4 linked regions of the Tamandua tetradactyla genome follow. The protein of the gene in region 2 interacts with the protein of the main gene of each other region in a biochemical or structural test. Links are inferred from orthologs where the notes say so. Each region holds a gene or a part of one and is shown on either strand. Other genes may lie near its edges. The genes, in order: RAB6A, OCRL, RAB8A and RAB31.

The links.
Region 1: the proteins of OCRL (region 2) and RAB6A form a complex in vitro, tested with the Homo sapiens proteins (2 studies listed by BioGRID and IntAct, with this or other methods). The link is inferred for Tamandua tetradactyla from reciprocal best matches to the Homo sapiens genes OCRL and RAB6A.
Region 3: the proteins of OCRL (region 2) and RAB8A form a complex in vitro, tested with the Homo sapiens proteins (2 studies listed by BioGRID and IntAct, with this or other methods). The link is inferred for Tamandua tetradactyla from reciprocal best matches to the Homo sapiens genes OCRL and RAB8A.
Region 4: the proteins of OCRL (region 2) and RAB31 form a complex in vitro, tested with the Homo sapiens proteins (2 studies listed by BioGRID and IntAct, with this or other methods). The link is inferred for Tamandua tetradactyla from reciprocal best matches to the Homo sapiens genes OCRL and RAB31.

Annotation. Positions count from the first base shown.
Region 1 is NC_135334.1:72,222,540-72,230,007, reverse strand, and holds the start of RAB6A (ras-related protein Rab-6A), read right to left. Parts: upstream 3,016-7,468; 5' UTR 2,525-3,015; coding exon 2,455-2,524; intron 1-2,454. UniProt on the Homo sapiens protein: The small GTPases Rab are key regulators of intracellular membrane trafficking, from the formation of transport vesicles to their fusion with membranes.
Region 2 is NC_135353.1:34,136,109-34,144,031, reverse strand, and holds the start of OCRL (inositol polyphosphate 5-phosphatase OCRL), read left to right. Parts: upstream 1-4,916; 5' UTR 4,917-5,119; coding exon 5,120-5,158; intron 5,159-5,414; coding exon 5,415-5,494; intron 5,495-7,923. UniProt on the Homo sapiens protein: Catalyzes the hydrolysis of the 5-position phosphate of phosphatidylinositol 4,5-bisphosphate (PtdIns(4,5)P2) and phosphatidylinositol-3,4,5-bisphosphate (PtdIns(3,4,5)P3), with the greatest catalytic activity towards PtdIns(4,5)P2.
Region 3 is NC_135337.1:94,765,480-94,773,490, reverse strand, and holds the start of RAB8A (ras-related protein Rab-8A), read right to left. Parts: upstream 3,008-8,011; 5' UTR 2,941-3,007; coding exon 2,817-2,940; intron 1-2,816. UniProt on the Homo sapiens protein: The small GTPases Rab are key regulators of intracellular membrane trafficking, from the formation of transport vesicles to their fusion with membranes.
Region 4 is NC_135344.1:73,360,733-73,367,829, forward strand, and holds the start of RAB31 (ras-related protein Rab-31), read left to right. Parts: upstream 1-4,097; 5' UTR 4,098-4,560; coding exon 4,561-4,683; intron 4,684-7,097. UniProt on the Homo sapiens protein: The small GTPases Rab are key regulators of intracellular membrane trafficking, from the formation of transport vesicles to their fusion with membranes.

The sequences.
Region 1 (7,468 bases), on a different chromosome or scaffold from region 2:
AGAGGAGACCAAGGAGATATAACTAAATGTAATGTGGTAGCTTGGATGGGATCCTGAGGGGAAAAAAAAAACAAGCGGTAAAAACTAAGAAAATGTGAATAAACTAGGGGCTTTAGTTAATAAAGTATCCATACTGGTTCTTTAATTTTAAATAATGTACCATCCTAGGAAAAGATGCTAATAACAGGGGAAACTGGGAGGTGGGGGTGGGAGGTATACCATCTGGGAACTCTCTGTACTAACTTCTCAATTTTTCTGTAAATCTCAAACTGTCCAAAAATTAAATCTAAGTAGGGTGGTGTGACAGTGGCTCAGTGGCAGAATTCTCACCTGCCATGCTGGAGACCCAGGTTTGTTTCCCAGTGCCTGCTCATGTTAAAAAAAAAAAAAGGAAAATTAAATCTAAGTAAAAACAAAAATAAAAAAATGACTCCAGGAATTACCTGAGGGGAGGGGAGGGGAGATGAGATTATCAAAGGTTTTAAGAAAATATAAATGAGAAGCCATGAAACTCTACAATGTGAATTAAAACATAAATACACTTAAATTCAGATCTCTACACATGCTAAAACCATCCTAGGAAAGAGATTAAAGAGTTTTTCATGCAAACTAAATAGATGCATCACAACACAAGGCAGGCAATAATATCCCTAAACTGAAAAATAAGCACTTAGATCCTATTTACCAATGTTGACCTACAGACTATTTTTCATGTACGGCACTGTCCTGATATTGCCATAAAATGCCTGGATCAGAATCAATTCCTTATGTTCTACCAAGTTACTCATCTTAAAAAAAAACTTAAGGCGTACTTCAAGAAAATCTATAAGCAAAGAGTAGGCTTTATTTTTCCTTGGCAAGGGGAAAAAGATCTATGTATGAAAGAGAAAAATGATTGTTCAGGTGCAAGTGGAAGTAATTTTGCAGCTAATACTAGCCTACCTTAATGTCATATAAATTAGTTTAAATAGTTCACAGTATTAGTTAATAAAAGCTCTGAATTTGTATTGGTTCCTGCCTTCTAGGCAAAATAATGTTTTCTCTAATATAACCTAAGTCACCTAGTAGATACCCAATGTTTGATGATTTGGGAGGAACTTCTCACTCAAATTTGAATTTTAATGATGGTCATGAACAGTGTGAGAAAAACAAAAGAGGGTAATAATCTCTAAACAAATTTGCATACTGCAGATAGGAAATTTGTATTCGAAACATTTGCATAACAGCATAAAATTGGAATTACTAGAAGAAATAATTTTAGAGACAACCTTCACAAAATTAGGATCTCTTCTAATACAAACTACAGCAAGAGCAGAACTTTGATCAGGTTAAATGACATTAGTTTCATTCACCAAATACTATGGAACATTAGGCATAAAAGTCATTTACCCAAAGTATAACAAATTTAATTTAGATAACTCCCTAACGCTCCCCACCCCCAAGGAAATCCTACAAAACAAAGATATTCCTTATTCTCAAACCTCTCGAAGAAATCCTAAATATATGACTGGAAAACATACAAGAAGAAATGAATAATTAACATTTCCCCAGTCATTCCTGTATGCACCACCATGAGAAAAATAAGAGAGCGCTTCATGTTGAAACGAGAAAAAGGGGAGATTGAATGTGAAAAATTCCAAGTAAAACGATCATGACATAGCATCTGGCAGAGATCGGAAAAGCATCAACATTGCCAAAAGAATCGTCAGTGATTCAAGTCAAGAGAAGAAAATGAGGTTTTTTCCGACAAGCCAGAACCCAACTCAAGGAGCAAAAGCCTCCACGCCCGCCGCCATCCCTCACGCAGACCACCCAATTCACAAAACGCTTCCAATTCAGACATAATTCCGCTATAATACAGATTAATTCTACACCACGGTAAAAAGCATCCAAGAATTTTCTACCATCACCATTTCCCACCTTCCATAAAGATCCTCAATTCCCAAGCCAATCCCCAGGGGAAAACAACGCCCAGATACCACCCTCCTTGCCGAAGTCTGAGAAGGGCCTGTTCCCAGGAGCGGGGCTTCCAGGGGTGGCCATCACAGAGGCGACGAGCCCGGCAGAGTGCAAGGAATAGGGGTGGGGCTCAAGAAAAAGGGCTGGGGTAAGGGAGACGGAGACCAGAGGAAGAAAGAGATGGACAGGAGGCAGAGGCTGGGCGGGGTAAGGCCTGGGAAGGGCAGATCGGTAGGTGAGGGCAGGCCTGTGAAGAACCAGACAGCAGAGTCGGGGTCAGAAGGGCCAAAGGAGAAGAGTAAAATCGATCGACAGATCAAGGGACGGAGAAGCCAGGGAGAAGAGGGGTTGGCGAAGACAGGGAAGGGCCGGGGGGATGGAACAGAGCATGAATGCGAGGCCGGCAAGAAGCCTCCGCGGACTGAAGGACCGCACTGGGGGCGGCGACGGGAAGCCGCCGCAAGGTGCCAAGAGTGGGGGGAGCCGCGCACTCACCGCTTTGCTCCCCCAGGAACACTAGCTTGAATTTCCTCAGCGGATTTCCGAAGTCTCCGCCCGCGGACATGATGGAGCCGGAGGAGCTGCCGCCGCCTCAGCCCAGAGACCTTCCGGACCGACGATGCTCCAACCGGCTGAGGAAAAAAGCGAGAGGAAGGGCAGGCGCCCAGCTCTCTTGGCCCCTGCAGGGCCCGGCGGATGAGAAAGGTTGGAGGGCAGGACTCCCCACAGACAGGCAGCCGTCGCCGCCGCCGCCTCCCAGCAGAGTCGCCTAGCACCAAGCGAGGCCCGTGGCTCGGAAGGGAAGGAGGGCGGGTGTCGAAGCAACCAAGGGTGTACTCGAGGTTTCCAGGGCTAACTTCCTTCCCTTCTTCAGTACCTGGCACGGAAAGTGGGGTCAGAGAAAAGAAGAATGGCAAAACCAGAGCCTCAGACGCGTCTGGGATCTCTCCCACACAGCGCCTCAACTCCCTCAGCTGTCGCCGCCGCAGCCCAACCTGCTAAGTGCGCGAGCCTGTGGCGCGGCGCGGAAGAAGCCCGGGCGCGAGCCTGCCGCCCGGCGCCCGCCGACGTGCGTGCGTGAGTGCGTGCGCGTGCGCGCCACGACCATCGCCTTCCTGGTTTAGCCAGCTCTCCCGGTTTCCGGCGCCGCGGAGACTAGGGCAAGTTAAGTTTCCAGCACGTCGGGAGGAGCTAGGAGGGGCAGGACGGAGCCAAAGGAAAAGGAAAGGGTGAAATATGGAGTGCTTACGTCACGCTCGTAGTGAGCCAATCGGAAGAGGCCAAGGACCGACAGGGACGAGAATGAGGTGGCGGTGCGAGAACGCGCGCGGCCTTCGCGCTGTGAAAAGAGGCGCGCAGTGGCGGCCATGCAGAGTGTGGCGGGTCTGTCCCTAAGAGTTGAGAAGTAGGGGGTAGAGGCGGGGCCCGAACGGAAGTAGGGATTACCCCAGAGATGTACGGGTGGGGTCGGAGAGCACTAAAGTGTAGGCTGTGTTCGTCTTTCCTCTGTTCCCATCCCTGCCTTACATTCCTCGTGTCAACCTTTCACCCATGTATGTATCCACCCACTTTCTCCATCTTCTTACTCATCATAATTCCTCACATTGGCACTTAACTAGGTACATTCTCTATTGGTGCTGCAAGGAGTTTCATAACTGCCAGAAACAAGGCCTCCACGATTTGCAAATGAAGAAACTGAAGTCCAGAGAGAGGAAATGGCTTGCAAAATCCGCACAGCCGGAAAGTAGAACCCAGGTTTTCTCATTTTCTCCCATTGTATCTGTGTGGTGTCTTTATTGATAAGCCAGCGCACTTTCTTGGCCGCACTTTCTTGGCCTAACGGGTCGATCTATCGTCCTCAGATGCTGATAACTTGAACATTACACTCCACCGTGCTAGAGGAGTTTAAGTATCATGTAAACCAAATCCTTCATTTCACAGATGGTGAAATTGAGACCCATATAGAATAACGCCTTTGCGGAGAGACACACAACAAATTAGAGGCAGAGCTTGCGAAGTAGGTATTTTAAAGCTCTTCCTTTCCCCCTAAGCAGGGCTTCTGAATCACCGTAAGTGGACCTCCCTTAAATTAGCCATTGAAAGCATGTACATTTTTCGGTAGAGAGAATCCATAGCTTTCACCTGGATTTGTGATCTAAAAAACAAAGAATGTTACCGCCAAGAAGAGCCCAAGGAGACATGATGACTAAATGTAATGTGGAATCCTGGATGGGATACTGGAACAGAAAAAGGACATTAGATAAAAACGAAGGGAATCTGAATAAAGTATGGATTTTAGTTAATAGCAATGTATCAGTATTAACTCATGGTAACAAATAGACCATATTAATGTAAGATGCTAAAAATAGGGGAAATTGTATAGTGCGTATGGTATACAGGAACTCTATGATGTGTTCAATTTTTCTGTAAATCTGAAACTGTTCTAAATAAAGTCTGTTAATAAAAGATAAATAAAAGGCTAAGAATCTCGGAATTAGAGAATTTGGCATCCACACAACTTCCTCCAAATGTCATCACACTGTGGTGATAGAGTATGAAAGAGTAATCCCTGTGTTTTGAAGAGGTTACTTTTAAAAACTGGTATCAAAAATATTTCTCAAGTTAATAATAAATCCTTACATGTGCGTATAGTGTCTTACCATTCGCAAAATACATTTATATATATATTTTCTCATTATTCCAGGGTTATTACTTACTTAGCTATAGAAATGGCAGTATCAAAGAAGTTCCTTTTCAAGCCCAGGGATGAATTGCTGACCTAGAATAAATCAAGGGAAGGAAACTGTGCCAGTTTGGAACTGTTGTGTACCCCAGAAAAGTCATGTTCTTTAATCTTGATTCAATATTGTTGGATGGGATCTTTTGATTAAGTTCTTTACATGGAGGTGTGGCCCACCCACTTGTGGGTGGGACCTGTTGATTAAGTGGTTTCAATAGATGTGTGGTCACCAATTCGAGGTGAAGTCACTTACTGAAATCCTTTAAGAGGGTACCGTTTTGAAAAAAGCTCCAGAGCCAGCACAGACATTTGGAGATATAGAAAGAAAACACCCCCAGAGAAGCCGTTTGAAACCACAAGGAAAAGAATCAGCAGACAATACCAGGTATCTTCCCAGCTGTCAGTGAAAGCTTGAACATCTTCGGCCCTTTCCTGAGTCATGGTTTCTTTATCTGGATGCCTTCGTTTGGACATTTTTATGGCCTTAAAACTATAAACTTGTAACTTAATAAATTTCCTTTTTAAAAGCCGTTCCATTTCTGGTATATTGCATCCCAGCAGATTTAACAAACTAATACAGAACAGAAATTTTCAGAATATATCTAGAATACAGCTATATCCACAAGCCTCCTTTTCTGTCAAAATTTATTCACTTCTTACTGTTCTCTCCATTAAATGGCAAAAGAATTTGTGCAAATGTATTTTGAATGGAATGATAAAAACAGTCAGAATTGAACATTTGATTTTTTTTTTAAATTGCCCTTAAAAGTAGTTACTGGCTGGTGTTTATGGCAGCAGTGTTAGTGATTTACAACGGATGGAAGTGGCCTAAGGGTATGATATCTGAGGAATGGAAGGGGAACTGTGGTTTACACATACAATGGACTACTGAGTGGCTGCAAGAAGGAATGAAGCTGTGAGGCATACAACTATGTGAATGAACCTAAGGACCTTATGTTCAAATGTCAGAAACAAGAAGACAAATATTAGCATGCCTCACTCATGTGGACTAACTATATTATAAAAATGTGGTGAACTGAAGTTGAGAGCAGAGGTTACCAGATTGGAATTGTAAAGGATCCTAGATTTTAAGCTCTTTCAGCAGTCACATATATACAACTCCTGAATTGTAACTGTTATTTCTAAAATCTGATCTACTGAGCTATTTGTATATAACATGATTGTTCCCAGAAACTTCGGGTATTTATGTAACACCTGAGACTCAGAGTGCGAGCTCTGAAGCTATGAAAATCAGCAGCACCCCATTAAGGTACTGTTTTAAAAGTTGAAAAGGGGATCTAGCTTTGAATAGAAATATGAATGAAGCTGATCTGTATAGAACTGGGGTAGATCAGAATACAGGATAAAGAATAATATCGTCCATGTTTTAAAACTTCAACTTCTGTGTGAGACCAAAGGGAGAGATGTTAATTTGGTGCAGAATTTATATTTTGGGCAGCACATTATCTAATTTAACTAGTATTATCAGTTTAGTTGAACATCATAAGTACAGGGAATCTTGAATAAGCCATGAGATATTTTTGATTTTTCCAGATTAATGTGATGCTTGGATATATCCCAGAGTAATTTACGCAGTGAATAAAGAAGTATTTGCAAAATCCTCTTAGGGGGACTGAGGAGAAAGGAGGATATATTCTATATTCAGCCTCACCATCTGGAGAATTTCTGATATTCTCACAAGCAGTGGAGACAACCAAATCAATAGGCCAAGCCCTTAATCTTGGAATTTGTCTGTATGAAAATCATTCCTGCAAAGGATAGCTTAAGCCTACTTAAAATTATGCTTAGGAGGGTGGGCCATGGTGGCTCAACAGGCAGAGTTCTCTCCTGTCATGCTGGAGACCCGGGTTCGATTCCTGGTGCCTGCCCATGCAAAAAAAAGAAAAAAGAAGCACTTCCTGGAAGATGGCGGCTTAGTAAGACGCGCGGATCTTAGTTTCTTCTCCAGGACACCTACTAGAGGAGTAGAAACGATACAGAAAGCGCCGAAAGCCACAACAGAGATAAAAAAGACAGCGTACCCCATCCTGGAACGGCTGGCTGGCTGAGAGAAGCAGCTCGGGTGAGATCGCCGAGGCACGCGGGCCTTACCGGGTGGGGTGGCAAGCGGCCGGAGTTACTCCCTTCCCCCTTCCCGGGCCGGCTGGGAGAATTGGAGAGGCGGTCCCCTGAAACCAAGGCGGCTGGCGCCCACACCACACGCAGCCCCCCGGACCAACTGAGAGAACTGGATCGGAAACCCCCAGGCCGCGGAGAACGGTGACGGGTGGGGGAGGCCCCTTCCAAACCTGTGACTCCCGGGGAACGTGCACTCTCTCGGGCGGGCCGCTGCCGCTGGCGCCCTCCCGCCACGCTTGTTGCCCAGGGCCGACTAGGAAATTCGGACGGGCTCTTTCCCTGGCTGCGGCGACCAGCAACCCTCCCTGCGTTCGGACCCCGGGCTGGCTCAAGCCGCTTCGGCTAGCAAACCCCCAGGACGGCGAGAGTTTTCCAAAGTTTAAGGTCCCACAGCACCTTTTACTGGTAGGACCCGCAGACAAACGTGTGCCACGTGCGCCACCTACTGAGCAGGATAAGAAAAACAGAACCCAGAGATTTCACAGAAAAATCTTCCAAACTTTTGGATCCAATACCCAGGGAAATCTGTCTAAATGCACAGACGCCAACAGAAGATAACGGATCACGCTCAAATAATTGAAAATATGGCCCAGTCAAAGGAACAAACCAATAGTTCAAATGAGATACAGG
Region 2 (7,923 bases):
TCTCTTCTAGAATCTTATATGTCCTCTCTTCACTGGCTCCTGCCGCTTTGCTTTGTTATCATTATTCTTAGTAGTATTTTGCATGAGCAGACAGCGGGAATCAAACCTGGGTCTCCAGCGTGGCAGGCAAGAACTCTGCCTGCTGAGCCATTGTGGCCCACCCCTGCCACTTTGCTTTAAAGAGCCTCCATAGTAACCTCTGTTTGACCCTTCCAACTAATTTAACTAAAATTGTATTTCACTCCTCTTTATTTTCAAACCCCTTCAATATGTGGTCTCTCGTCTCTATTTCCTCATGATATGGTCCCTCTTGAATTTCCTGTAATCTCATTTCTACCCTCACCACTTACTGAAACCATACATCTAGTGGTCTGTAATGACACATCCTTGACACATTCAAAGAAAGTCTTTCAATCTTCATTTTCTTTCTCCTACTTTTAGCATTTGACACCGCTAACCTCCCCTACACATTTTTCTTTATTTTTCATTTTCAAATATTGCAAACGATTCCAAATGCAGGAAAATACATAGAGTAACATAATCAATGTAGGTACCCACCACCCAGTTATATCAAATCTTACAACACTAACTTTCAGGTTGTGTTTAAGAAAATACATATTACAGATACAGTCTGTATTCTCAGTGTACCCCTCACCAATCGCAATCATCTTCCTTCCTTAAATTTGGTGGTGATGGGCAGGCCACAGTGGCTCAGCAGGTAAGAGTGCTTGCCTGCCATGCCTGAGGACTCGGGTTCTATTCCTGGTGCCTGCCCATGTAAAAAAATTAAAAAACAAAAAAAAATTTGGTGATGATGTTTTATATACTATCACTACAGATCTAGATAGCCATAAACAACAGATATTTTCAAGCTTTATATAACTGGCATACTATATATATGTATTGCAATTTGCTCTTTTTGCTAAGCATTATATTTTTGAGATTTAAACATGTCATACATTTAGCACTAATTAATTCTTTTTCATTTCAAGATAGTATTAACTTCATGAATACAATGATTTATTCATCCATTCACTTACCAATGAACATTTAAGGTGCTTCCAAGTTTTTTTTGAGATTACAAATAATGCTGCAATGAATGTTCTTTTACATGTCTCCTTGTGCTTAAAGGTTAGAGTTTTGTCAGGGTTTATACATAGAAATGAAGTTTCTGGTTTGAAGGGTATTACATATTCAATTTTATTAGACGTTGTCAGATTGCACTTCAAAGCAGTTCTACCAATTTATCCTCCTTTTAGCAGTCATGGTATCTCATGGTTTACATTTGCATTTTCCTGAATAGTAATAAAACTGAGCATTCTTTCATATCTTTATTGGCCAGTTGGGTTTCCTTGACTGTGAATAGCTGATTCATATATTTTGTCAACTTTTCTATCTGGCTTTTTTCTTACTGATTTTTAGTTCTCTATACATTCATACATTTAATCAGTATTTTTTGTGCATCTCCTTTATCTCAGGAACAGTTCTAAGTACTAAGAATACAGCTATATGTGATGCCCCGATAAATCCCAGAGTGATTTGAACAGTGAATAAAGAAGTATTTGCAAAGTCCCCTTGGGGGAATGGGAAGAAAGGAGGAAGTATTCAACTTCCCCATTTGGAGAATTCCTGATATTCTTGCAAATAGTGGGGACAACCAAATCAATAGGCTGAGCCCTCGATCTTGGGGTTTGCCCCTATGAAACTTATGCCTGCAAAGGACAGGCTAAACCTACTTAAAATTAGGCCTAAGAGTCACCCTCAGAGAGCCTCGTTTGTTGCTCAGGTGTGGCCTTTCTCTAAACCGACATGGGAAGTGAACTCACTGCCCTCCCCCTCTACGTGGGACGTGACTCCCAGGGGTGTAAACTTCCCTGGCAATATGGGACAGGAATCCTGGGATAGCTGGGACTTGGCATCAAGAGACTGAGACAACCTTCTCAACCAAAAGAGGGGAAAGAGAAATGAGACAAAATAAAGCGTCAGTGGCTGAGAGATTTCAAACAGAGCCGAGAGGTTAATCTGGAGGTTATTCTTATGCACTATATAGATATCCCCTTTTTAGTTTATGGTGTATTGGAATGGCTATAGGGGAGTACCTGAAATTGTAGAGCTGTGTTCCAGTAGCCATGTTTCTTAAAGATGATTGTATAATGATATAGCTTTTACAATGTGGATGTGTGATTTGTGAAAACCATGTGTCTGATGCTCCTTTTATCTAGGGTATGGACAGATGAGTAAAAAGTATGGATAAAAAATAAACAAACAATAGGGCAAACAAAGGTTAAAATAAATTGAGTAGACTGAAATACTAGTGGTCAATGAGAGGGAGGGGTAAGGGGTATGAGATATATGAGCTTTTTCTTCTTTCTTTTGCTGGAGAGATGCAAATGTTCAAAAAATTATGATGGTGATGAATACACAACTATGATATTGTGAGCCATTGATTGTACACCATTTATAGAATGTATGTCAGGAATGTTTTTATATTAGGAATGTTAGTATGTTTGTTAAGGTTTGACAATAAAAATTAAAAAAAAAAAGAATACAGCTATAAACAAAACAGACAAAAACACCTGCCCTAAAGGAGCTTACATTGTATGGAGGAAAGTAAACAATAATTTAGATTGATAAATAAAATAAAGATACAACAGATACTGGTCAATCCTACAGAGAGAAAATAAACAGAGAAGAGGGATAGGGAGCATGTGTGGGAAGGGGATTATCAAATTACAATTTTAAATAAAGTGATCTGGGAAGGTCTCACTGAGAAAGTGACATTTGAGCAAAGACCTGAAGGGTGTGAGGGAACAGGCAGAATGCACAGCACGTGCAAAGGCCTGATTAGTCCTAAGGTCAGCAAGGAATCCATGTGACTAAACAGAGTGAGTTGGAGAACGTGGCAGGAGAGGAAGTCAGAAAGGTGATGATAGCCAGAAGTCGTGAAGTCATCCTTTCTTGGTCACATGCCTTGGGAATATCTTCTCCCAGTCTGTGGCTTGTCTTTTAACTAGGTTAAGTTGACTTGAAGCCATATATTTTGAAATTTAACATGGTCACACTTATCAATCATTGCACTTAATTCTTTATACTTTCCAGTGTCTTAAGTAATCACTCTCATTCCCTATTCCAAGGTTGTACAGATATTCTCCTATTTTCTTCTGAAAGTTGTAAAATCTTGCTTTTCACATTTATATCTTTAATCCACCTAAAATAATGTTTTTCCTATATGGTGCGAGGTAGGAAAATTTTATAATTTTCCATATGCATACTCAATAGCCCCAGCACCATTTAGTGGATAATCTGGTCTTTCCCTGCTGTTTTAAAATGTCATATATTCTGTTCTAGTTTGCTAGCTGCCGGAATGTGATATACGAGAAACAGAACAGCTTTTAAAAAGGGGAATTTAAATGAAATGTGATCCCACCATACAGCATTCAAAAACAAGGGGGGGGGGGATTTATTTAGTTGCAAGTTTACAGTTCTAAAGCCATGAAAATGTCCAAATTAAAGCATGGATATAGAAATGTCCAATCTAAGGCATCCAGGGAAAGATACCTTGGTTCAAGAAGTCCAATGACGTTCAGGGTTTCTCTCTCAACTGGAAAAGCACATGGTGAACATGGTGACATCTGCTAGCTTTCTCTCCTGGCTTCTTGTTTCATGAAGCTCCCCGAGGGGGCATTTTTCTTCTTCATCTCCGAAGGTCTCTGGCTGCATGGGCTCTCATGGTTCTCTTGGTTCTGAAGCTTTTTCCAAAATGTTTCCTCTTTTAAAGGATTCCAGTAAACTAATCAAGACCCACCTGGAATGGGTGGAGTCACATCTCCCTCTAATCAAAGCTTAATACTCACAATGGATGAGTCACATCTCCGTGGAGATGATCTAATCAAGTTTCCAACCTACAGTACTGAATAGGGATTAAAAGAAACAGCTGCCTCCACATGATGGGTCGGCATTAAAACATGGCTTTTCTAGGGTACATAATCCTTTCAAACGAGCACAGTTGCTGAATATCAACTTTCCATATATGTGTGGGTCTGTTCTATATATTGTTCCATTGATCCATCTATCTCCAAACCATACTGTCTTAATTACTATAGTTTTAGAATCACTCTTGGTATCTCGTCCACTAGAGATTCTTGAGCAAATGAATAAAAGTAATTAAAACACTGCTCTGGGAAAAATATTCTTATCACTGTAAAGAGAATAAAATAGTTAAAACAGTGATTAAAGACAACGAGATTCATTTGGGGGGAAATGCAGTAACCCAGATAGGATATCACAAAGGCTGAAAATAAAACAAATGGAGAGAAAACAAGGAATCTAAAAGTAATTCCCCCCAAAATATTAACAAAGTTGAATGGATACAGAGAAAGCAGGAGAGAGAGGAAAGCATATGGCTTTGAAGTTTCAAGCCTAGACCCCTGTGTGAAATGATGAGTTTGATTTGTTATACGGTTTTGTGTATTTTGTTAACAATGGGGTATATTAAATATGAGGTCTGTGCCAGGGATATATATTTGGACGTTCCCTGCCTAGAGATCACCTTGAGAGGGGACAGAGGAGGAGCAAGAGTCTGAGCTTTGAGGAATTTTCTGGTTTAGGGGGTGGAAAGAAGAGGAAGGGTAGAAGAACATCTGAGAGATAGGATAACCCGCATAGTGCATTATAACAGTAATAAGGATTTTTCGACTAGATTTGATATGAGTCCGATTAGCCCAACACCTTTTGAGCCCCCTGATAGTTATGACTGCATTTTGTTCAAAGTCCCCAGAACAATGCTGGCGTCACAGGTAGTATTTAAGATGCATTCCTTGCTGGACATGGTAAAGACGCCCCCAGTCCGTCGTGTCTGTCACTGCAGTTCCACAGCTTGGCCGCAGAGGGCGGAATCTGCGGCGGCCTGGGAAACTGGCGGGGGCGCGAGGCGCCGCTCTCTCTCGGATCAAGCTCTCAGCTCCCGGCTCCGGGCTCTGGGCTCCCGGGTCGAGGCTGGCGGCGCTGAGCCGTTCTGCAAAGTAAGCGTAGCGCAGGCAGGTGGGTGTGAGGGCAAGGGAGGCAGCGTCGTTGGATCCGCCCGCAGTCTGCAGTCCCGCTGATCCCGGAGGCCTCCCCAATGGAGCCGCCGTTCCCGGTCGGAGCCCAGCCCCTTGCCGTATCCGCCTGAGATAAGGGGGAGGGGGAGCCGTATCGGCCCGGGGATGGGGATCGGGGGGGAACTGTGGAACACCGGGGAGGGTGTCGGCTAGTTGGAGAAACCGCCGAGCAGAGCAGGGGGAGGGGGCGCTGGCGCGGGAGGCGATGCCTGGGGGCCAGGGAGGGCGGGCGGAGGGGCGACAGGCTGCCTCGGCACCGCACCACGCCACCCCTCTCCGGCCGTGATTCCAGAGACCCTTGACTAGCGTCCGCATACTATCGAGGGTATGGAGATGAAAGGGCCCCTCCGGGAACCCTGCGCTCTGACCCTAGCCCAGAGGAACGGACAATATGAGTAAGTAACCACCTGATTCCCACAGAAGAGAGGAGCCTCCCCTTACCTCCCAACCCCAAACCACGACCATCCACCCTCTTCCCTCTGGGGTTTTGCGGGCAACAGGTTCAGACCCAGGTGTGAAGTGCGAGAGTGCTCTCCAACGGCGGGGCTCTCCCCCTGCGTTAAGTGGTAGATTGCGTCTATATCGCTCAGTGGGAGGACTCCGTGAACAGGGAGGAAGCCTGGGTTCTTAGTTCCTGCCCCTGCAATTGACGTGTGTTGTGTAACCTTGGGCAAGTTAATAAAGCTTTCTGGGCCTTAGTTTTGTCACCGGTTAAATAAAAATATTAACTACCTTACCTTATAGCCATTCTTTGGAGTTGTAACTGGGGGAATCATAAATGCAGAAGTGTTTTAGGAAAAGTAAAAGCCCTGTAGAAAGGCTTCATTGTTAAACTTACAGGCTTGCCTTTTCTTAACCCCATTCAACTGGTTCCTCCAGTCTCCCCACCCCCCTATTCCATAAAATTCAAAGACCTGCAACTTGCCCCAAGGCAGGGTCATTAATTCAGTAATGGTTTAGTGGAAGCCAGTAACTGCCTCACACATTGGCCTCACACATTGGTAGAGAAAAGGTGATGAAATGTGAAAAAGTATAAACATTTGACATTTTATCAGTGTATCACCTTCCACTCTATTTCTGCCTTGCACATAGGAGCTCAGTAAGACTGCTGACTGATTGAGCAAAAGATTGTTTTCATAAGCTGTCATTATATAGCTGCTAATCTCACTCCCTTGCCACTAAAGCCTCATCTCAAAAATTTCCCATAGTGACCATCTTATCCCATCCACATGTGCCCAAGCCTCCTCTCTTGGGCGTCCACTGCATTTCTTGATTTCTTCTGAGTTTAAAAGTTGTTGACCACTTAAATCCTACCATCTCCCATCATTGGATTCTGCCTAAAAACAGTATCTCTGAATTCCTGCTTTCAGACTCTAGACTGGATTTGTGTCTGTGCTGTCTAAACCTAAAAGAAATTCCCACTAGCCTAGGCTGCCCACTTCTTGCACTGTTGGTGCCACTTTAATTTAGCATCACCTGATTCTATAAAAGTAGTTCTTCCCTAGGTCCTGCTTAGTCAGTTCTGTTGATGTCGGAAATTCATATTGTTTTTCCCAGGTTTCCTCAATCCCTGGAAGACTGGTTTAATAAAACTAAATTCAATAGACAAGTGAATTGAAAACTGAAACAAACTGACACTTCCAAGGCTAGGATAGGGCAGAGAGAATGGATTTGGAATGCAGAGCCTAGGTTGAAATCTCATTTCTGCTATTTTTGAGATGTGACTCTTGGGCAAACCAATGAAATTTTTATCTCTTATTTTCCTTTTATGCCAAATATGATTATGAGGATTAGTTAAAATAACTGCTTTGTTGAGGTGATCACAGCCCAGGATCTGGTTCCTTGGTTTAGTAGGTTTGCAGCTTACTTGGCTAATAAGGGAGTGAATGACTGGCCTTGACATGAGCACTTCATCCTGTCTGGGCTCTTGTACTAGAAGTACTTTTAAACTTGCAGCAGTGGCTGTTCTATTTGAATCCTCCCCATAGAGAAATCAAATTCTTGTATTAGAATTCTGTGCAAGTTACGAGTATAATAACTAACATTTAATGGTTTTAATATGTGCCAGGTACTATTCAAAGCACTTTTCATATGAGGGTTAATATGAAAAAGTAATAATATCATCATTGTTCCCCTTTTATCAATGTAGAAATTGAGGCACAAGTTTGTCACTTGGTCACAGTTAGGAAGTAGCATACTTGAGATTTGAATCTATGCAACATAGCTCAGCTACTCCAGCTCTTAATTACTCTATGCTGTCTCCCAGCTGTGTACGGAGGCTACCATTTCAGTAACCTATCTCAGAATTATGTGGTCTGCTTTTTGAAATAATTTCTTAGAATCCCCTAATACCCTAATGCCATCTATGATCCTTAAATTCTTGTTTCTTGGGTACCTTCTCTGTCTTTGGTGTCCAGAACTTTTTTTACCTTTGACCTTTTTATCCTAGAACTTGAAGCCTATCTTAATCTTTACATCTGGAGCTTTTCCAATCAACCACAGGAGAAATTTGCTTGACAGACCAATGTTACAATTAAAACTAAATATTTTGGAAATGAGACATCAAAACACTAGGGTTCATTTCTTTTTCTCAAGGATAATAGATTATGATAGTACCTGTTAGTTCACCTTAAATCAAAATATGTGTTTCCTAGGAATAATGCTGAGTCAGCATTGACAATATGTCAAATACTGATTTCTGTTTGACATCTATCAAATTCTGATTCCATTGTTTTGCCATATGCCTTTTTAACAAATCTTTTTTGTTCTGAAACGAATTATTACATTTCAGTAGAATTTTTTTTTACTTTTTAAATTGTATAGT
Region 3 (8,011 bases), on a different chromosome or scaffold from region 2:
TGCTTCAGGAAACTATAAGTAATGGATCTGGAAGGCCTGTGGAGGTGAAATAACTGAACCCTGCCTCTGCCTCTGCCCCTGCCCCAAGCAAGGGGAAGCTGTTCCAAGGATGCGAGTTCCACCCTCACGAGCCTCAGGAGGTGTCCTGGGAACCAAAGTGACCGGACGTCTATGATTCAACAACCCCCCACCCCCACCAACTAGAACATACGTTCCCTGAGTGCAGGCGATACGTGTGTTTCAATCACTCCTCTACCTCCAGTGGCTCAAAATGGCAGGGGCTGAACAAAACACCTGTCAGATGCCCAGCCCTGTGCACAGGCTTCATGTACCTGTCTGCTTCCCTGATTCACCTCTGCAGCCCCTGCCCTGAGGCGTTTGCTGGCACAGGAGGCATGGGTGGAAGATGGCTGGAAGAGAGAATTCAGGGCAACAGGGCGTGTGTGGAGCTGTAGGATCATGAAAGCCTTTCCCGGACATCATCTATCTCACTGCAGGAATGAACGGGCCCCGAGGAGGTGCTGGGTGAACACAGCCCGGTCACCGAGAACTGATTCCAGGAGCCACAGGCCAAGTCCACACCACAAGCAATCAATGGAGCTGATGAGAAGAGCCTCTGGCAAAACATCCCCTGGGCAGCAAATGAACAGCCACGCAAGCTCTGATCTACAAAGAAAACCCAGGGATACAGGCAGTGCCAATCTAGAAATCACCTTTATGCACTGAGTCATATTTCAGGACTTAGAAGCCCAATGTTGGCTTGTCCTAAACATTTCTCTACTTCCTGACACAGATGTACTGGGATCCAGGAAATCGAGATGCACGGCTGAATATGCAGAGTCCAAGACAGCACTCTGCTCTGCACATCTCCTAGGTTTTACGAGCACACCAGATTTAATTAGGATGCAGCAAGTTTATGAGGGCTAAGAATTATGAGGCCATGACTTCAAGGTAACGGCAAATTTAACCTTCCCGGGCAGACAGAGAGCTGCAGCAAAATTACACATGTGATAGGAAGAATATTGGGGTGGCGGGGAGAAGGCTGAGTTCAACTCCACCTCCACCTTTCCGCATGACCTTGAGAGAGCTGTATTCTTGTCCGTGAATGGAATAGTCCAGATGCCTCCTTCCTGGGGCCCTAAAGGTGCTGCATGGGGTTTCAGGGTTGAAGATTTAAAATCCAAATGAAAAACTCAAGTTCAGAATTTATCTCACTGGGGCACGTGAGGAACAAGCTGGAAAACTGAGGTCTGGGGCTGAGCACAGTGGGCCAGGAGTTAATGTCACTTCCTGGTTGGTGGGGAGGCAAGAGTTATTCCAAGGGCTGACCTTGAGGGTGGAGGGGGGAGGATTCTGATACACTTGTGCCCAGGGAGATGCTACCACCTCAGGAGCCATCCTGCTGCCTCTAGGTGGTCTCGACCTCTTAGTCCAGGTGGAGTTCTGATCCTCAGCCCCAGGCCTGGCCAAGGCAGAGAGCTCTGCTCTTAATCTGAAGACATCGGTCTCGGAGAGGTGGAGGGACTCCTCCAAGGCCAAACAGCTACTGGAAGGCAGGTCTGATGCCCTCTGGTCCAACGCTCTCTACCTTACATCTAACACTTGACTTGATTTACGGCGCTCTAGGTGAAGGACAAGGATGGATTGAGCACCCTCGTCATGGGGTTCGAGGAGAAACAACGACTTGGTCAAAGTTACACGGGGATAAAACAAAACCCACCCACTAGGTTTTCTCCACTCAGCTAAACTCTCAGCTCTGGCTGAGGCCACTCCGTTTGGTCGATGTTCCTGACAGATCCAGCTTTCTCAAGTGAGCAATGACTGCTTTGTGGAGCAAAGAGAAGTCAGCTCCATTTTGGTGGATGTCAGAACTGAGGTGCAACCAGCCAATTCTGCTCAACCACAATGTGGGCTGGCTGTGTGGGAAAGCCTCTTTTGCAAAGTGACAACCGACATCCTGGGCCACGCGATAGGGAAGCCGAGGCTGCTTGCGGCGGAGGCTGGTTTTTGTTTCTCACTGAGGCTTTTTTATCTGGCAACTCCTTGCAGATGAGGATCCCAGGGTGGACAGCTGTCACCCGTCATTGCTGTCACCCTCGACTGGGATGGAAGGCAGGGCAGGGAAAGGTCACCAACTCCCTCTCACTGCTCCTTCTAGACAAAAAATTCACCCATGGGAAACAGGACAAAGGAGAGGGCTCAATTTGGGGACATGGCTCTGGGGTCTCAGGGCTGTGTGCTGGCGTCCATCTGCGACAGCTGCCCCCGGCATTTTGGGGTCAGGCACCCCTGGGTTCTAAACCCATCCTTGCTACCTGCAGACCGTGTGACCTTGGGTAAGTCCCTACTCCTCCCCTCAGTCTCCTCTGTAACGCAGAGTTCTGCTCGGGGCGTGAGAATGCACAGAAAGAGCCTGGCCACAAGAACAGGGGCTCAGCGAGTCCCGACCCCACGGTCAATTCCCCAAGCCTCAGTGTCCAGTTCTGCACGTCGGGGGGCCTCCAAAGGACCGCCTGGAGGTGTGCTGCGAGCACAGAACGAGAGGACGGGCGCGAAGACCCCAGGCCACGACAGACACTCCTAGACGAGAGGCTGAGGATGGGAGTCTCAGTTACCCCACCTGCAAAATGGGCACTCGCCCCGCTCCCTGCGGCCCGTGGAGCCCCCGAGGGGAAGCGGAGGCGGGGGCTCTCCGCCCCTCAGGGCCCCTGACGCTCTCCGACCCCTCCGCCCTCCCCACCTGCTCCTCAGGGGCGCGCCCGGACCGGGCCTCTGGCGTCCCCACAGAGGCCCCGGCCGCTCCCCGGCCGCGTTACCTATGGTGGAGATGAACGTGGAGTTGAAGGCGTCCTCGGAGAAGCGGAACAGGACACAGGTCTTCCCCACCCCCGAGTCCCCGATCAGCAACAGCTTGAACAGGTAATCGTAGGTCTTCGCCATATTACACTCTGTCTCCGACGGGAAGTGCGGCCGGCTCCTCGCCACTGGTCGCCGGCCCCGTCCATCAGCGCCGAGCCCGCCCACCATTGGCTCCCGGCCCGCCGAGCGTCATCGCGGCCGACGCCCGCCCCCGAGGCCCGCCCAACGCGCGGGGCCGGAAGCGGTCCCAGCGCGCCTCCCATTGGCCGGCGTTCGGGATAGGGCGCGCTACGATTGGCCAGCGGTGAGTAGTCGACGGCCTTCAAACGGGGAACGGGACGGAGGCGTGACCTCCAGTGGCCACGCCTTCCCGCCCGCAATTCTGGGGAGGCCCCGCCCCCTTAGGGGAGGGGTGGAGGGCAGGGAGCGTCGCCAACGGCCCTGTGCGCCGGAGGCTCGGGGGCGGGGTCTAAGGACTGCGCACGCGCCCTGGGGAGACCGTTGGGCGCCAGCAGAGGGCGCACACGCGTGGTGGGGCGGGAGGGATGTCTCCGGGGTCCGCCCTCAGAGTCCGCGCAGGCTCAGTAGACGGCGGGGCGAGCGCGGGAAGGGACGGTGGGCGGAGGCGGCGGCTGGAAGCCTTGGTGTTGGGTCTCGGGGTGCTGAAGAGGAAAGCAGGGAAAGGGCGCTCGTCGCGGTCGAGGAGCGGCCTCTGGAGATGTGCTCCGGGAGTTCCGCCGGCCTGGGAGCCCGCCTGGGGATAACCCGGCCTCCGCCACCCCAGTCCCCTGAGGCGCGTGGGCCTCCTCAGGACGGGCCCGCGGACCTAATCAGAGGTTGTGGGGACCCCCGAGATCTGTCCCCACGCCCCGTCCGCCCTCGGAGGCGCGCTCGGGGGCCTGAGGGGCCAGGGGAGGCGCGCAGGCCGCCTTCTCAACACTTCATATCTTGAACCCTCGCACTGACCCGAGGCCGATGTTGATTGTTGATCCCCGTTGCGTGCGGAGGAAAGGGAGGCCGGCGACAGGTCACTTTCCCTGCTACGGAGGTGTGTGAAGATGGGTTTTGCACCCGAGGCGGGGGCCAGCTGCAGACCCCGAGCCCTGGATCGCTCCCCTTCCCGCCTCTCAGAGCCCGAGCCGCCTCGCCGACGTGCCGGCTGTCAGCCTGGCCTCGCGCCTCAGGCCGCCCCCGGGGCACCGCGAGAGGCTGCTGGAAGCCCTTAAGGTCCTTCCCAGGAGAGGCTCGGCCTGGCTCCAGGATGGCCCGTCTAGCTCTGCTCAAGAAACGCTTCAGGCCGCAGCCTCGGCGCTGTTCTGACCATTGGTCACCTCTGGAAAGGCTCTTTTCCTCGGCGCTTTCCCCAGCCGGCCCGTGGCCCGCACCCAGTTCTGCCTCTCTCTGGGTGCTGCGTCGCACCCCGTCAGCGCCTTTGGGCAGATGTCGGCTTGTGCCTTGAGCGGAGCTCCTTGTGGCTCTATGTCCCGAGCCCTCTGTTCGCATTTTCGGGGCCTCTCATTCACTCTGTGACTTCCCAGGCCTCCAAGGATGGTTCAATTTTTCATTCATCGCCTCCCCATCCCTGCGTCTCTGGGGGCCTTGACTTCTACCGCTGGATTTGTCAAAAGTGCTTTCAACTCAGCGTGTGCACCGCTGAACTCATCGTCTTCCACTCCAGCTTGCTGGTCCAGAACTGTCTTCTGTGTGAAACCTGCCTTTGTGGCCACCACCTCCTCACCCCTTACCTGCGGGCTCTTGGGGAGGTTCTGAATAGCTCCCGAATCCTCCTCCTCCATTTCAGAGTCACAGCCAGGCCCTCACATCTCCCTGCCGGTCTCTCCCAATCCTGCAGAGTTCATCCCAAGACACTGTCCTCTAAGCATAGCCATCCCCCTGGTTGAAATCCTTCAGTATTCCCTGAGCAGGGTAAAGCCCAGAACCTTTACTGAGTGTACAAACCCCTGCCCCCCGCCACAGTCTGGCCCTCACCTCACCCTGCGATCCACCCGTGTGCCACAGGGGTGGGCGGTTGCGGAGAGCTGGAGTGGGTTGGGTTAACAGGCGGTGAGCACTTAAGCTACGTGCTGAGGCACAGGACTGAGTAAAACAGTTTCCAGAGAGAAGGTGGTGGTGGGAAGGCTGAGAACAGAACAGCGAAGAGAAAACTTCAATCACGCAGTGGTGTGGCAGGGGAGGGGGCTGTGCGTTATACATTATTCATGGCATCTACCCTCTAACCAGGCTCAGTGTCAGGACAATGTTAATATGAGGGAAGTGCTTTTCACTGCATTTGATAACAATTGCTGGCATCCTGTATTTAACTTTTTGAAAAGCTTTCACTTCTCTTTTTGATGCATTTCCTTCCCTCCCCACCCCCAGTTAAGGAGCTCTTGAGGCAGGATGCCAAAGCAGTTCAGGTAGTGAAACTGCAGTGGTCTCTGACACCCTCTTCTCCAAGCTCCCCGCCATGCAGTCAGCTACTCTTAAGGCTATTTCCATCAGGCCATCTCTTGCCTCCTATTGGCAACCACTATCCTGGATTATTGAAACATCTTCCTGCCTGAAAACAAAACGCTTAAGTTGATTTTCCTACTATACTGCTGTGATCACTCAAGTCGTCAGCCACACTCCACTCCTGACCAAATTGACTCCAGATTCTCATCGGTCTGAACCCAGCCTACCTTCCTGCTTTCTCACTTTGACTTTCCTTTTGATGTCCAACACACAGGAAACCTCGCCCTAGCAGATAACGGGACCATCTTCCCAGCGCGGCTTGAGCAGGACCGGGAATGACACAGGGCAGAAGCATTTGAGTTCCTGAGGCAAAATGCTCTCATGTGTCATGTGGCACTCATAATCCTTGCATCATGAAATCATGGTATAAAGCAAATAAATAACATTAACTAAGTTCTTGGCACGGTAATCTTCTTTTCCTTCTCATTAACATTTGTTGGCTATTGAGACCCAAAGTGCCTTTTACTCCCCTACACATCCCAAAATTCACACACATTGTAGTTTATGTAAAAATTTATTTGGCCAAAATGTAGAAAAAGTGATACTATTACATATGATACAGTTGCAAGAAAGTGTGGGTTTTATTCAGTTGCTCAGTTTGCTAGTGTATCTCCTGGGTAGTGTGATGCTTAATAAATAGGAGTGAGGGGCAGGGGATTTGGATAAACTAGAAGCAGGGTCACTTTTTAGCCGGAATTGTAAACTTGAGTTGGCCCCCACACTTCTGGGGAATGTGGAATGTTTCAGTTCTGAGATGTTAACTGAGAAAGCAGAACTATCGCAAAGGTAAAATGTGCAGTTCTGTCTACAAAATGCTCCAAATCCAGTTTAATCAGGAGTTTCTTGGTCTTTTACTCACTTGATCCCGAAGAAGGAATTAAAGTCCTAAATTTAAAAATCTTCAATTTGCCATTCTCTGAACTATGGAGATGAAGTTGGGTCAGTAGCCTTTTCATTCCAGCTTTGCTGCCAGAGAGACCCCTTCTGCCTGGTATTTGTTGATTAAAAAAAAACAAAAATCCTTTTGCCCAATTTACTGATGGCTTGCATTCTCTTTGATATGGCAGCCGTGAATTGTTCTGAACTTTGCCATATCCATTCCTCCAGAGCGGATGGCCTTACTGAATAGGGTAGGCAGCCAAGGGGCATTATTGGAATAAGCCATCTGCTCCCCAGAGGCCAACTTTAGAATGAAATAAACGTCAAGGATCTATCCAGAAAATGTGGGTTATTATTATGACTGTTTCCCAAGCATTCCATGCTGACTGCTCAGAGGATGTTTGCTGTGTACAGTGGAGTGTGGAGAACAGCCAAGATGATTAGGCTACTCTGCATGTGGTTTATGACTTTCCTTAAGAGTCCTTTTTTCTTTTCTTTCTTTCTTGCTCTGGATGGAAAATCCCCACCCATTCTAATGTGATGGTCCCTCGCCTCCTGTAGTGTGACCAAAGGTGAGCCCAAATGGTTCTGTTCTTCAGCCTTTTAAGTTGACCCATGACTAGATATTGGAGTCTGTATTCTTGAAAGTGTGGGGTTGTCTAGTCTCCCAGGAACCAAATACCCTGCCTAAGGAATAAATGCAACATAAGGGTAAAAAGAGAGCTGAGAAAGCCAGTGCCATGGAAAAGAGGAAGGAATTAAACTTAACAGGTGCTCAAAGCGTCTCTGATAACAAAATATTTGGTCATGGATTCATAGGTTTGCTCGACATTTCCAGCAAAGAGAAAGATGCGATAACGAAAGAAACTTCTTACAAGAGAAGAGAAAGACCGGAGCTCTGAACAAGACTCTTCTGTTTTGGTTATATACAGTTAAGTTCGTTTAGCGTCTGATCCAGTGTCTGATGTAAGCCCACGTTCTCTTCTTTGGCCTGGGCAAGTTTTTCTGGTGAGGATTAAGAAAACAGGGGGAAAATGAAATTAATATGCATTTTTATAAAACAGAGGGAAAAGAAGGTTTCCAAACCCAAAATGCCAAAGTGAAGGTAATAGCGGAGAAAGTACTTTGTATTTTAATTACAGCAGAACACCAGGATAGAAGAGGGACCAGTTCCCAAATTCAGGAGTCACACATGGTTGTAAATAATTTGCCGGGTACCTGGTTAAATTTGAATTTCAGATCACAACAGTTTTTTAGTATATACCCCAAATATGGCATGAGACATACTCAAATATTCCTCATTGTCTATCTGAAATTCAAATTTAACCAGGTGTCTTGTATTTTTATTCACTCTGTCTGGAAACCCTAGTGTCAGAACACCTGGGTTTAAGCCCCAGAGAAGGCACTGAGGTAAGCCATTTACCCTTTTTTTAGTCTTAGTTTTCTCACCCATCAAATGGGGGCTATCACTGTATGGCATGGAACTTACGAGGAACAAATGAGAAATGTTCTAGAACCTAAGGAGTGCTACACAGACCTAAGATTTTAGTCCCAAGTATCGGGGACTTCATAGCTTCCCCCCCAGTGCCAGTTAATTAATCCCCAAGTCTTTGCTAGAAGCCTTTGGAAGGAAAATGCAATCCTGTCACCTGTCTTTCCTTTGGAGCGTCAGAGAGCGGCTCTTTAAATTCCAGTCCCATTTGTGTTGTTGTGTGTGTTTACCCAGAGCAGTGCCGTCAACCCCAGGTAAATGTTACAT
Region 4 (7,097 bases), on a different chromosome or scaffold from region 2:
AATAGTGTAGATGTACTACATTTGTAAGATGATTTTGGGGTGTCTTTAATATATTTCATTGCTTTTTTGAGTGTGTGTGTGTGTGTTTTTGCACAAGCCGGCAGGTTTGCTAGTTAGTTTCTTTGTGCTGAGTAAATGCTGAGAGAAGCTTAGGGGTAAACTTTATGAAGGAGGTGGAATTTGAGTAGGTCCTTGAAGGATGATGGGGCTTCGCCACACAGGCTAAGAACACTTCAAGTCTGGACACCATCTTCTAATGGTATGATGTTGATGAAGACGTTAAAGCAGCAGAAAAGCAGAAGTCTGAATTACTACAATGTCCTTTTACTTTACAAAGGTCCATAAAGAAAACTTGCATGTTCTACTTTTTTGATCAGGTAATTATGTCCCATTGACTTTGTTTTTTTAATCCCTGCTTAAGCTATATCAGAATTTATTTGCAGAAAATTCCAAAGGACTCTAGGTGGGTCCTTCATTCAGCTATGTAAGAGCATGATGATAGCATTCATGGAGAACAAGGTATCTTTAAAGAGTTGAGAGCTGCCTCATCTCCTCCCTCCTCCCCCTCCTGGGCTAGTTTTGTGTTTCAGTTGGGTTGACCATGGGGGCATGTTTTTTCCCAAGGTCGCAGTTGTCCACCAGGTCCACCTGGCTGAGAAGGCGAGTCAACCCACGAGCGTGGTCGGATGACCGCCTAGAATTGCTACTTTGTAAAGCAGAGTGCATGTCCTCTTCAGAATGAGGCAAAAACAAGGTAATGTTTAATGGCGCTGGGGATAAGAGAAAGACAAGCAGACCAAGGTGATTCTCATTTTTGTCTGGGGACAGTCCTGCCTTCTGTGACTTAATGCAGCTTTACTAACCCTCACTCATTCTATGGGGTATAGAAAATGAGAAAATTTCCCTGTGTTTTGATGGGCTTTACCCCTCCCCCCACTCCTGAACTCTTTTATGAAAAAATTTCTTTAGGGGAATTTCTTATCTTGGAAAATGACACTTTTCCTACTGTTTAGTTGCTATAGCTACAAAGAAAAAATAAAAAGAATTATAACAATGACTCAATTTTCATAAGCTGCCCTTGTGAATTAGTAATAAATTAGCACCACTATTTTATCATGCTGGTTCTTCATTTAAGTTGGGGTATCGATTTTGGTTTATCAACATTTTTGCACTTTGAAATTATGGGATGAAGTCTTGGGGTTTTGTTCCATTGGATAGGTTTTTTTCAGCAGGAGGTATTTTCGCAATGGGTGAACTCTTTCTTTTAAATTTTTGTTTTGAAGATACCATCTTTTTTACTTTAAGTATGATATTTGAAATCTGGAGACCATCCACCTATGTGGATTGGCCAACTTTTAGGAAGCAAGAGGAAAAGCCAGGCGTGCCTGCATAAACATGGAGATTCAAACACCGCCAGCTGGATGGCCCACATGCTGGAATCCCCTGAAGACACAGGAGAAGACAAGGCTCTGCTGTGCCCAGGACTGGGAATTCTGTTTCACTCTGCCCATAGAGAAGATGTTCTGTACTTTAAATGCAAAACCAAGGACAGATACTGACACAATAGTCCCAAAGTTGAAAGCTAGGAAAAGATGTTGACCTTGGCCCATGGCTACTTTTTGAACACTGTAGTACAGAGCTGCATGAATGAATGACCTTCCACAACCGGGCACGTGGCACGTGGGAAGGTCCTGCTGCTTGGGGACTCTCATTGACAATTGTGTTTATATGGGTGTCTTTTTGATTCCAGCCTTCTAGGACTTTACTCTCTGAAGGTCTCGATTTGGAAGTCCCCATTGCATGGGGCTTTTGGGTGGTGGGTAGTTTAAACCTGGTCTCAACCGCAGCAGAGCCAGATAATTAAGGTGGGTGAGAATGGAAATGCCGTCTATCAAAATTGAAAATCTCGCTCAAGGGTTTGGGATTTTTTTAAAAAAATCGTATTTCTGATTTGAAATGCCAGTGACTTATTCGGGTAGTATGCCCGAAGGCTGACATTTTTATGGCAGTAACAAATGAAGCCACGGAGTGGATGAGGCAGACCAGAAGATACACTGAGAAGGAAAGAGAACGTAATTTAGAACAGCCTCCCTTAGATGGGTTGCAGTCCTTTTGTTTCCTAGTTTAGAAAGGCTGCAGAAGGACCTCGTGCCGTGACTGCTGGGCGCTCCGGGTTTCTAGCTACGGTTCCGGGCGCTGGGTTTCTGCCCACTTGAGCTGGTCTGGGAGGGCAGGGTGGGGGGCGGCCAGCAGACCGGCGGGGTGGGGCGGGGCCAGGGCGGGGCTTAGTCGGGGGCGGGTCCGGTGGGCGGAGCCTCCTGGGCAGGCCGCCGCTGCTGCCGGGCTGGTTGGCGGCGAGGAGGCGGAGACCCGAGTGCGCTCGCGGGGTGGGTGGAAGCGGCGGCGGCGGCGGCCGGGGCTGTGGGACCCGGGCCCAGAGGATGCAGAGCCCCTGCCTCGGCCCAGCCGGAGCAGATGATGGCGATACGGGAGCTCAAAGTGTGTCTTCTCGGGGTGAGTCCTGGGGCGCCGCGACCCCGCCGGGGCTGCCCGCTCGCTTGGGACCCCCTCCCGGGACCCCCGCCCGGGACCCCCTCCCGGCGATCCCTGCCCGCTTCAGGCGGGGTGCAACCGCCCGCGCCCCTGCGCCGGGAGCCCAGATGCTCCGAGGACGGGGTTCAAGGACTCCCGCGTTCATTTCCTCGCCGGGGTTCCGTTGCCCCTCCGCTCCCCACCGGTTCCCGGGACCCCAGCCCAGTCCAGGCGGAGATTCAGCCGCCCTCGGCCCTGGGGCCTGGCCCTCCCCCGCTGCCCCGCTGGAGTCTGGCGGGACCCTGGGACGCGCGCTGTCCCTCCCCACCCAGGGCCGCCGGATCCCTCCCTGGGGTTAGCCGGAGGGTGAGGGTCCCGGCCACCGACCGCCCCTCCCGCCTCGCTGGGCTCGCCGCTTCGCTGTGGTGATTTCCTTCCGGCGGAAAGTTTACGTTACTTGGCCAAGTGTGGCCGAGGCCTCTTTTGCCTCCTGGGGGCAATATGTTTACCACCCCCCACTCCTTTAAAAAAAAGAAAAAAAAAAAAAAAAAAGCCCAAGCCAGGGTGAAAACCGAGAGGGTGGCGGGGCTGGAGGGTGAAGAAAGAAAGTTCTGCATGCTAGTGTGTTTGGAAAACTTTTGTGCCTCGGATAAAGAAGCAGCAGGCTAGGAAACTCCTTCCCCATCACCACTTCCCTTCGCTCACATGGGGCTTTCTGACCCTGGAGAAATGTAAAAACGGCCAGCAACACACACACACACACACACACACTACACACACACACACACACATACACACACACACACAGCCGTTTGGATTGGCAGACCAGAGAAGACACAGATCAGCCCCTGGGGCACCCCCCTTCCGCCCTGGGGAGAGTCAGCTCGTGTTCAGGGTCATTTCCTTGTGGGTGCCACATCAATTTCTACAATTACTTCTTGTAGAAGAAGAGCTGGTTCAAAACTGTGTTTTGAGCAGCCTTTGGCATCCACGCCGGGTGTTCCGCCCTTCTGGTTGGCAGATCTGGTCTCCTAAGAAAACCATTTACTAAAAAAGAACAGTGAAGAGATTAGAGCCATTCTTACTTGTCTCAAAGAAATGTTAACTGGGCTGTGACTGTGGACGCACAGAAGTGTTTAAAGAGGAAATGATTCTAGAGCATCTCACCAGCCTGTGCCACTTGCCAGGGGTTAGAACCCAGCTGTGCTAAACTGAGATCCAGTCCTGGCTCCCTCAAGCTCTTCTTGAACCTTGGGCAGGACAGTGCTCTTGACTCGCCCATCACTGCCCTCCGCCAAAGTATTCTTTACATTGGCTTGTCCGGTTTGCTTATGGTTCCAGGGCATCTGACCCTGTCCCCCCCACCCCCTCTCGGGCACAGACCCCCACCAACCCCCTGTCCCCCTGGCACCCTTGTGTCCTGCTCTGGCTCTGCTGATTGTTGTCAGTGTCGCCCGGGCTTGCTAATAGAATCCAGGCGTGAATTCCTTATGGGGAATCATTTCATGTTTCCTTGGGAGGAATTGCTGTAGCCCCAGGAAAGGCCTCCAGAGACTTGGAAGGAATGTTTGGTTCCGAGGACTCAGGAGGCAGCATTGCGTATGTTGCGTGTGTCAGAATTGGCCCCAGGAAGAAACGAAGTGGGGAATGTTTTTGCTTTTTTTTTTTTAAACGTTTTCTCCCTTGTCATCAGTTTAGGCTCCATCCCATCTATGACTCCGTCTTTCCAATGTTGGCATTTAGGGATGAGTTTCTATATCCTTCTGCAAGGAACTGATCAGGTGGCAGAATCTTGTCTCAGGAGGCAGGAAACATGGGTTCTCATTCTTGCCCACGAACTGGCTGCACATTTTTGGACAACTCACTCATTTTGCCTCATCTACAAAATGAGCATGGTAACATCTTCCTTCTAAGGGAGGGGACTATTTCCTGTTAACCTGCGATTCCAGGGTGACAGTTGGAAACCTGGGAGATGAGAAAGCTGGAGGATATCCCTTCATTTCCACCCCCCTCCTCTTATCTCCAGGAATGAAACACTCTGTTTTAGAGGCTTCCTGCAGGCAATGCCTCACCTTTTGTTCACTCCTGCTATGTAGTGAATCACTTGATGGGGATTTGAACTTGGAGCAGATGCCAGAGCAAACCAAGGAGGTATTTCTAGGCAGATGGAGGCTTTGAAGCACCCGTGGTAACACACCGTATCTGTGGTGTCCATTTTCTGTGGTGGTTGTGTTTTAAATTTTATTTAGGTCAGAGCTTATCTTATATGGAAGGGCGAATGACCTTACTCTCTAGTCTTAGTAATATTTGCTCAGTACCCTGGTTTGGCTTGACTTGGGGGCACAAGAGCTGCTCTTACAAGAAGGGCCGTTCTCTGGACAAGACAGCATTTGGGTGAGATCCAAGGGTTTTCTGTCTTGATTTGAAGTGGGTGGAAGAGAGAGTCCATGCTAAGTCCAGAAATTCTTGCAGATTTTTTAACAGGAACCCTGTTAGCTTCTTGGTCTTTGTGTAGGAAGGTCTGTCCTTCCAGGATGTGGTCTGGCATACCACCAGCACTCAGCTTCCTCTTTTTTGGACACCACCACATCTTCCTGGAGTCTCTTGTGACAAAGACCCCAGGAGCCACGCCTCCATTGGCCCTGTTGAGATCCCTTTTGGTTTGTCCCCATCCTAGGATGGGATAGAAAAGGTGGCCCTTGGTGGCCCAGTGAATGAAACCTTCCTATTTCCCTGGGAGACTGAGGGGCTTGGCTTTTTGTGCCCTGGCTATTCAGGGTTTATTTGAGGACATGCCTCTCATTTGGCACAGGCTGGTTTTGGGCATAGGCAGTTGCTATGCTGGTCTTTTCCTCTCTTGGTGGGCTGGGGACTCTGCCTTCCCACGGTAGGGTTGTTTGCAACAGTTGGAGGTGAGGGTAGGTCACAGGCCATGTCTTTTTCACCCATGCCTGGGTCTTTCAGAACCTGATGCTTCTCATCATTTTCCTGGGACGTTAGGTGGGTCTGATTTTATTTTTTTCCGTGAGTGCTCCCAGATGGGATTAACAATGGTCTGTGGAACCGTCTCTGAATGCTTTGTGTTGTGAGAAACCAAGAACTCAAGAGCATTAGGTTTATTTGGAATTACCTCTTATATTCTTGGTTCTCTCCCTTTTTTTCCCAACCACGTGTGAACCTTTTCATGTCTGTTACACGTGGTTACACCTCAGTGAGCCTGTGTGAATGCCCTCTCTTGGGGCACTGCTGGGCCCCTTAGGGAAGCTCGCCATTCAGGAGGACGTGTGGGACAGGGGATCACAACGAGTGATCCTTGTTAGACACTTAACGGCCCCGTGGGTCTCATTCTTGCCAAGAAAGTGCCAAGCATCCTATTTAGTAATCTGAACCAGGATTATGAAACATGTAGCTTAAAAACAGCCCCCCCCCATAAAATCCGCAAATTATGTTAAAAATAACTAACAAAAACAGTATTCAGGCAGCAGCTGTTTAAACCCCAAAGGTGGAACGGTTCCCAGTATGCATTTTCAACACACATCACCACGTGGCAAAAAGGAGGAGGAGAGGGAGAAGGGAGAAAAAGAGGAGGAGAGAATCTTTATTTTATTGTTTCCTCTGTGTGCACTTCAAAACTGCTCCCTCATGGAATCCCAAAGAGATGTATATTTGGATTTTGGTTGTCTTGACAATGATTGTAGAGTGATTTCTGCTTCCTCCACAGCTGAACGAGCAGTTGAAAGGCAGTTGAGGGCTTCCCTGCTGCAGGGAAGGAGCTTCTTGAAGCATCTACTGTTGGCCTTGTTTTCATCAGAGAGCAAAGACCTTGGATTTGTCATGACACCTGGGCGATAGGAGACCTCAGATGCATACAGGACCTTCATGAGAAGGGTCTTTGGCTGCAGAGGGCATCTGAGGGGCTGAGGATGGAACAGATTTTGCTCAAAATTACAGCAGAAAGTTCTAGCTGTCAGAACCTCACATGGCCTTCTTTGATCCCTGGTGAGCTTCCTCTTTCTGAAATGTTTCAGTCAAGTTAACCAAATTTGGTTGGGGCGTGGTGGGGGAATGAATGCCCAGGGTTCAGGATTGGGGCTAGATGATCATCACATTTGCTTTCTAAGCCTGAGATTCTATTAATATACTTTTTTTTTCTTTCTTTCTCAGAAACCAGCATTTCTTTGGGGGAGTGGGGGTGGGGGGGAGGGGGAGCTCAGAGAGGCAGGACAGCAACTCTTTCTTACCACACTTGTTTCCTCTATTAAGTTGAACCCTTCGCGGAAAGTATGGCTCAGCATTGGTAGCTTCTTCGTCACATGAGAACAGATAGAAACCATATAGTGGGGCATCTTTCTAGCAATGTCCGGCAGGCATTGTCCCTTGAGCAATAACGAAACCTGACCCAATCCCTCAGGTCCTTCTGGTACATTTTGGCTCAGTGTCACTATTCCCACCAGACCTTCTCTGTGGGGTATGCGTCAGAATCGTTTGTGGAGCATTTTCAAATACCTGTGGGTCCCTCTTCCCATCCTCACCTATGACTCACTGTGGCCTCCACCTCTACCCTA